Linked DNA regions of Ovis aries. The protein of the gene in region 2 purifies or fractionates together with the protein of the main gene of each other region. This does not show direct contact. Links are inferred from orthologs where the notes say so. Each region holds a gene or a part of one and is shown on either strand. Other genes may lie near its edges.

What was found. Proteins that work in one complex are often made in the same cells at the same time.
Region 1: the proteins of ACIN1 (region 2) and SAP18 fractionate together in Homo sapiens (co-fractionation; 7 studies listed by BioGRID and IntAct, with this or other methods). This does not show direct contact. The link is inferred for Ovis aries from reciprocal best matches to the Homo sapiens genes ACIN1 and SAP18.

The regions. Positions count from the first base shown.
Region 1 is NC_056063.1:35,853,417-35,857,162, reverse strand, and holds the start of SAP18 (histone deacetylase complex subunit SAP18), read left to right. Parts: upstream 1-900; 5' UTR 901-912; coding exon 913-1,041; intron 1,042-1,157; coding exon 1,158-1,267; intron 1,268-3,746. UniProt on the Homo sapiens protein: Component of the SIN3-repressing complex. Enhances the ability of SIN3-HDAC1-mediated transcriptional repression. When tethered to the promoter, it can direct the formation of a repressive complex to core histone proteins.
Region 2 is NC_056060.1:21,612,355-21,616,000, forward strand, and holds part of ACIN1 (apoptotic chromatin condensation inducer in the nucleus), read left to right. Parts: intron 1-485; coding exon 486-619; intron 620-713; coding exon 714-866; intron 867-1,391; coding exon 1,392-1,533; intron 1,534-1,863; coding exon 1,864-2,009; intron 2,010-2,261; coding exon 2,262-2,369; intron 2,370-2,507; coding exon 2,508-2,615; intron 2,616-2,826; coding exon 2,827-3,151; intron 3,152-3,260; coding exon 3,261-3,361; intron 3,362-3,646.

The DNA of each region.
Region 1 (3,746 bases), on a different chromosome or scaffold from region 2:
TGAGTCAGTTCTTCGCATCAGGTGGCCAAAGTATTGGAGCTTCCGCTTCAGCATCAGTCCTTCTAATGAATATACAGGACTGATTTCCTTTAGGACAGACTGGTTGGAGCTCCGTGCAGTCCAAGAGACTCTCAAGAGTCTTCTCCAACACCACAGTTCAAAAGCATAAATTCTTCAGGGTTCAACTTTCTTTAAAGTCCAACTCTCACATCCATACATGACTACTGGAAAGACCATAGCTTTGACTAAACTGACCTTTGTTGGCAAAGGAATGTCTCTGTTTTTTAAATATGCTGTCTAGGATGGTCATAATTTTTCTTCCTGAAAAGCCAGTCCCTGTGGTTTTAGCGGGTCCGGGTTAGCCCTGCGCTCCAGAGCCTTCGATGTTGACCGGACTCCTGGACTTCTTCGTTTTAAAGCACCTTTCCAACTCTTTCCCCCACTTCCCACCGTGCTTTTCTCCAGGAGTCCATGGACGCTCTGGATACCAGCTTTCCGGCCACCACACGCCTCTCAGTCGTCTCCTCCCAGTCGGCTCCTCTCTTAAATTTTGTTTTTCCTCTTTTTAATCTAATCAGGTCTACCCGCCTTTTCCGGTTAGCGACTGTAGTTCACACAACAGCGCCCCGGCCTCCGCCCTGAGGGCCGCCCACTACAATTCCGAGCGCGCGTTCACTCTCAGCTTCCGCAGTCCCGCGTCCGCGTCCCTCAGGCCGTCCCCCTGCGGCGGAGCCCCTCCTTCAGCGCCCCGCCCACGACGCCAGTGCCCGCCCCTTCCCAGGAGGCAACACGCAGGCGCGCCTAACGGGCTAGAGCTTAGCATAGCTAGTGCGCCTGCGCCGGGAGACACCCCGCCCTCGAGCCGGTCATATATAAAACCTCGAGCGTATCCTCGCGAGAGGCTTGGTTCTCATGCTCTCTGCCGGGGTCGGAGGTCAGAGCGAGCGTCTTGCGGGCCGGAGAAGGAAGATGGCGGTGGAGTCGCGCGTTACCCAGGAGGAAATTAAGAAGGAGCCGGAGAAGCCCATCGATCGGGAGAAGGTGAGGGTCCGGAGAGATGCAGGGGTCCCTGGGGAGGTGGGGCGGCGGTGCGGGGCCGGAGGGAAGGGTCGGGACCGCGCGTGCAGCCTCCTGACTCCCCGCTGTCCCGCCCCCAGACCTGCCCGCTGCTCCTGCGCGTCTTCACCACCAACAACGGCCGCCACCACCGCATGGACGAGTTCTCCCGCGGAAACGTGCCGTCCAGCGAGCTGCAGATCTATACTTGGTGAGTCAGGGGGCCGGGGGCCCGCCTGCCGCCTTCGGGCTCTCCTCGGATCGGGGCCTCTGGAGGCAGCTCGCGGGAGGTCGAGGTTCGGTGAGGAAATGGTGTTAACTCGTCTTGTGGCACTTCGACCGCTCACGTTGAAACTTCTGGGTTGTAAAGAATTGACCCAGGACTGCTGTCACTGTTGTGGCTGCTGGGTACGGAAGTGACACGTCGAGCGTCCAGTACCGCAGCGGCTCCCAAGGGGCTCTTGGTAGAGGGTGGCGCTAGAATAATTTGGGGAGGGGAGTGGTGCTGTTGGGTGATACTCGTCGTCCTCATAGAGCGCGCGTGTGCTAAAACGCGCTTCAAAACAACGAAACCGGGTGGATTTTGATGTGCTTAATGGAGAAGCTTTTGATGTGTTTACTGAGGGTCTCCCCCTGAATGTTTGTGTACCTTCACTACCCACGTCTTACTAGGGCCGTTACGTACAGCAAGCCGTATGCAGTTCCTTGGTTTGACGTTACAGTGGCTTTATAGTAGCAGTAAAAGGTGTATAATTATTTAAAATATGCCTAATGTAAAATATGTGACATTTGTCATTTTAATTGTTTCAGGGTACATTTCGGTGCAACCATTACTACTATCTATTTTCAAAACTTTTAAATTCCCTACAACAGGTCTGTACCCAGTAGGTAATAATGGGAATTCTTCATTTCCCCTGGTCGCCATTATGTATGTGAATCTGTCTCTTTTAAGTACTTCATATAAATGCTCCCATATGGTATTTGTCGTCTTGTGTCTGGCCTGTTTCACTTATAATCAAGGTTTATTGATGATTAAGGATATGAAAAAACGTGATTGTTTTTTATGACTGACTGAATAACGTTTCATTGGAAGGCTTTGCTACATCTTGTCTGTCCACTTGTCTGCTGGTGAACACGGTGGGATTACAGTATGATTTATGTTCAGCTAAGTTTATGTAGTATGATTCCAGTTCAGTATTATTCCAGGAAAACAGCTCAGGAAGGTCGATTTAACTTACAGAGAAGAACTTTTATTAACAGATTGATGAACACTTCTGTTCAGATTAGTCTATATTTCCTCTAATAAATTTAGAGTTCCTACTTGCCAGATACTTGCTTTGACTGAAGAGTATAAAGAGGGTTACACCCCCTCTCTAGAGTAAACTCAATCTCCAAAAGAAAGCAGATGGAATAAATGGAGGGTGAGATTGTGCCACACTCTCTACTCTCAATCAAGGAAAAAAAAAATTACAAAAAATTAAATCCCGTCCTCAATTGTCCTGTCCATAAACTGCAACCAAACAAGACAACCTTATCTTACACCTCAAAATGGTGGACAGACTGGATGTTGGTGAGGGACAGAATGGAGCCCTGCTGTCATTCCAGAAGCAGCAATGAGGGAAGATTGGGGATTCCCAATTTGTAGAAATAGATTGAGGGGCCAAAGTAGGTGGCCTTGAGATAAGTCCAGGAAAGAGGAGTGAGGAGCCCAGCAGAAGCTAGTTGAATTGGCTAAAGTCCAAGGGACTGTGTGGAGCTGGGGGAACACCCCACCCCAGGAGTGATAGATCTTGTGCTTGGGTGGTCACTAAACAGGTTACTGGAAGAGAATTATCTCAATTACTGAAATAGGGTTCAGTGAGAAAAACAGACCAATAGGAGACAGAGCAAGAAATGGCTCACATAGTTGTGGGGATTGCCTAGGTCTGTGGCTGGAACTCTCCATCATAAGCTTTTGGAATTTCTTCAGGGAAGTCTTAGGTCCAGTATGAAGCCTTTTCAACCTGATTGAATGAGGCCCACTGATTGATTTAATGAAGTTTACTCAGATCATCTTGGATAATCACTTTAAAGTCAACTGATTATAGATTTTTGATCCTGTCTCAAAAACACATACCTTAGTGTTTGTTTGATTGAATAATTAGGAGCTGTAGTTTCCTAAGTTGACATATAAAATTGACCCTTACAGTCACCAGGAACTCTTGCAGAGATTTGAATAATGAGAGGTTAAATATAGCCTGATGGTGGGAATGGAGAAAAAAAATAGATTGATCTGTCTTTTGGCTGCACTTCAGAACTTGCAGGATCTTAGTTCCCCAAGCAGGGATGGAAACCTGTGCCCCCTGCAGTGGAATCCTGGAGTCAGCCACGGGACCACCAGGGAAGTCCTACTTGATCTGTCTTTAGGAGGTAGAAATAACAGGCCAGCAATGGGAAGAACTTTACCACTCTTAGGTTTGTGACCTGGGCATCTAAGAGGGTGATGGTCATATGAGAAGAAGGGCATATTTGGGGGACACTGTAGAGTTGTTTCGGGTGTATTGAGAAGGATTCAGCAGCAGTAGAGGAGGAAAGGTGATGTGATCATTGTGGCCTTTTTGCTCTCAGTGCAGCTGAAGCCATGGTTTTTTACCTGAATGTGATGTAGTGGAGCTGGTGTAAATAGGGAACTGAGTTAAAACTAGATGACT
Region 2 (3,646 bases):
ACAGCAACAACTTGAGCATTTTTCAATGAAGAACTCTTTTTAAGTTGACAAAAGTGTAGTATTTAATAGATCTTTATGACTTAAATATCAATCTATTAGTGTTAATACTATCTAAAGCATAACCAGGTCATGTCATGATCTAAAACTAACTTGAATTTTATTATCATACAGTCTTCTCATTCCCATGTCATCCTCAGTATGTCTTCCCCAGTGCTTTAGGTTTTTCTACCAGTAAAAGTTTAAATGCTCACCAGCCTAGTTACTTCTCCCTTTTTGCCTTCAGAGATCAGTAGTTTTAATCTTTCAGGAAGTGGCTCCAGGCTTTCCATTTACTCTGAAACACGATTTCCCCAGTCCCCCAAAGTGATATCCTTAAGTTAATCTTTCACTAAAATTCCAGTTGAAGGCTATCTGTGGGTGTTGTGGTGTGAACCAGCAGAGAGCCTGGGACCATCTAACTGTGGGGTCCTGTTTCTTGGGGACAGCAGCTACCAAGGGGGTGCCGGCTGGAAACAGTGACACAGAGGGGGGCCAGCCTAGTCGGAAGCGGCGTTGGGGAGCCAGCACAGCCGCCACCCAGAAGAAACCCTCCATCAGTATCACCACCGAATCACTCAAGGTGAGGTGGGAGGGGCCGGGGAAGGGAGGATGAGACATGCGGTGGGAGTAGACATGGGCCCAGTGTAACGGGGTGGGGGGTATCTGTGTCCCAGAGCCTCATCCCCGACATCAAACCCCTGGCGGGGCAGGAGGCTGTTGTGGATCTTCATGCTGACGACTCCCGAATCTCTGAGGATGAGACAGAGCGTAATGGTGATGATGGGACCCATGACAAGGGGCTGAAAATATGCCGGACTGTCACTCAGGTAAGGCTCCTGTGCCCCACTTTGGGGGAGGGGGGTCTGAATGCAGAGTAAGTTGCTAAGTAGGGAGCTAAGGTGGAGCTCTAGAAGGGAAATCTGTGCAGAGGGTTGGCTTAATTGACCTTTGTAGGGGTCCGCAGAATACAAAATCTAACCTGTTGCCTGTAATGAAGTTCTGTTAGAACACAGTTAACACCAGTTTATATATTTTTCTCTATGGCTGCGTCCGTGCTATAATATCCAGAATTGACTAGTTGGAACTGTATGGCTCACAAATTCTATCATGTTTACTCTCTTGCTCTATACAGAAAAAAATTTGCCAATTCATGCCTTAGTTTTCCTCATGGGTGAGTTAAGGTCTTACCAGTCCCAGGACCTGGCGGAGGTGACCCTAATAATGAAATCTTCCCCCCACTGGAAAGAACACTTGAGGCTGACTACCACCATCTCTCCCCAAGAAACCAGAGGCAGGAAAGAATATGCCGGTTTGGTGTTGAAGAATCCCTCTGTTAATCTGATACCTTACAGGTGGTACCTGCTGAGGGCCAGGAGAATGGGCAGAGGGAAGAGGAGGAAGAAGAGAAGGAGCCTGAAGCCGAAGCCCCTGTACCTCCCCAGGTCTCAGTAGAGGTGGCCTTGCCGCCCCCTGTGGAACATGAAGTCAAGAAAGGTGGGTGCAGCACTGAGTGAAACGTGTGGCTCTTTGAGATCCCAGAGCACCTGATGTGGACCTCTTACAGCATCGAATGTCTTCTGCCTTGTGTTGTAGTATTTTACACATCTGTCTTGTTACACAAGCTACTTGAGGGCTAGGTTCGAATCTGTTTAATCTTTGCATCCCCATAATGAGGAGATCAGCCTGGACTGTACCTTGCACAGTGCAGGTACTCAGCACATTTAGACAGAAGAGTGACTACCGGTAGGGAATTTAAAAGTCCTGCTGAAGGCGAAAACCAGCATTGCTCCCTGCTGAAAACAATTCATGTGCTCTATTTGATAGTGACTTTAGGAGATACCTTAACTCGACGTTCCATTAGCCAGCAGAAGTCAGGAGTTTCCATTACGATTGATGACCCAGTCCGGACTGCTCAGGTGCCCTCCCCACCCCGGGGCAAGATCAGTAACATCGTCCACATCTCCAATTTGGTAAGTCATCGTTTCCAGCGGTGCAGCTTGATGTAGAGTCAGAGCTGTGGACCCGTGTTTCTTAGGTTCAGCTCCTGCATCTGCTGGTTACTCACTCGGTGACTCTGAGTGAGTTACTTAACCTCATAACCTGTCTCATGAAAAATGAGAAAAAAGTATCACCTTTCAGGATTGTCTGGAGTTTGTAGAGAGCCTCACCTGAGCATATTTCTTGCCTTCTTCGAGACCCTGAAGTTTCATTTCCATTGGCAGGTTCGTCCCTTCACTTTAGGCCAACTGAAGGAGTTGTTGGGACGTACAGGAACTCTGGTAGAAGAGGCTTTTTGGATTGACAAGATCAAATCTCACTGCTTTGTAACGGTGAGGGGAAGAAGCTGGTTCTCTAGGTTGTGCCCTATATCTCCTTTTGTGACCAACGTGGGCAGGTTTGAGGCCTTACGGCAAGTGGGAGGGAGGGAAGGCCTGTTGTGACCTTCTGCCTCTCCCTTCCTCCGTCAGTACTCGACAGTAGAGGAAGCAGTTGCCACCCGCACAGCTCTACATGGGGTCAAATGGCCCCAGTCCAACCCCAAATTCCTTTGTGCTGACTATGCTGAGCAAGATGAGGTAAGAAACCAAGGGAGAGGAAAGAGGGGAGGGGCAGGGGAGGCCCTCATCTGCGAGACTCCAGCTGAGACCCTGGCCAAACTGGTGGTCTCTGAGGGTGCTCCTCCCTCCACTTTGGTTTCCTGAGTTGAGCCGTGAGTCTGTTCGCCAGCGCCTGGGCTCCTTCAGTGGCGTGATGTTGTCTCCACCCTTTTGCCTCCTCTGCCCACAGCTGGACTATCACCGAGGCCTCTTGGTGGACCGTCCCTCTGAAACTAAGACAGAGGAGCAGGGGATGCCACGGCCACTACACCCCCCGCCCCCACCCCCAACCCAGCCACCACAGCACCCCAGGGCAGAACAGCGGGAGCAGGAGCGGGCGGTCCGGGAGCAGTGGGCAGAACGGGAACGGGAAATGGAGCGGCGGGAGCGGACTCGATCCGAGCGCGAATGGGATCGGGACAAAGTTCGAGAAGGGCCCCGATCCCGATCCCGGTCCCGTGATCGCCGCCGGAAGGAACGCGCAAAGTCTAAAGAAAAGAAGAGTGAGAAGAAAGGTACTTAGCTGCAGGGGCACAGTACCCACCTGTAAGTGGGGAAGGGACCCAAATGGGATGGGCCACAGGCTCACGTGCATCAAGTCTGAACCACTTCCTTCCACCTCAGAGAAAGCTCAGGAGGAACCACCTGCCAAGCTGCTGGATGACCTTTTCCGCAAGACCAAGGCAGCTCCCTGCATCTATTGGCTCCCACTGACTGACAGCCAGGTGAGTGCCTGCCTTCCCGCCCTGCTCAGAGATGCATCAGGCTAGGGGGCACAGAGGGCAGAGTCATGTGACTGTGGGAGAGAGTAGGCCTCGGTATCCTGTCGGCTTAGGATAATAAGGCAGAGGCTAAGCATCATGGAAAGAGGTAGTTTCAAGACCCAGTTGATTGTGCCCTAGAAAAGCCAGACCCAAAAAGGTAGAAGGTAGACATGGAGATTGGAACTTTGTGTGTGTATCCAAACTGGGTGTGCCAGCCACACTTCTTGGAAGTTGATTTTAGTTAGC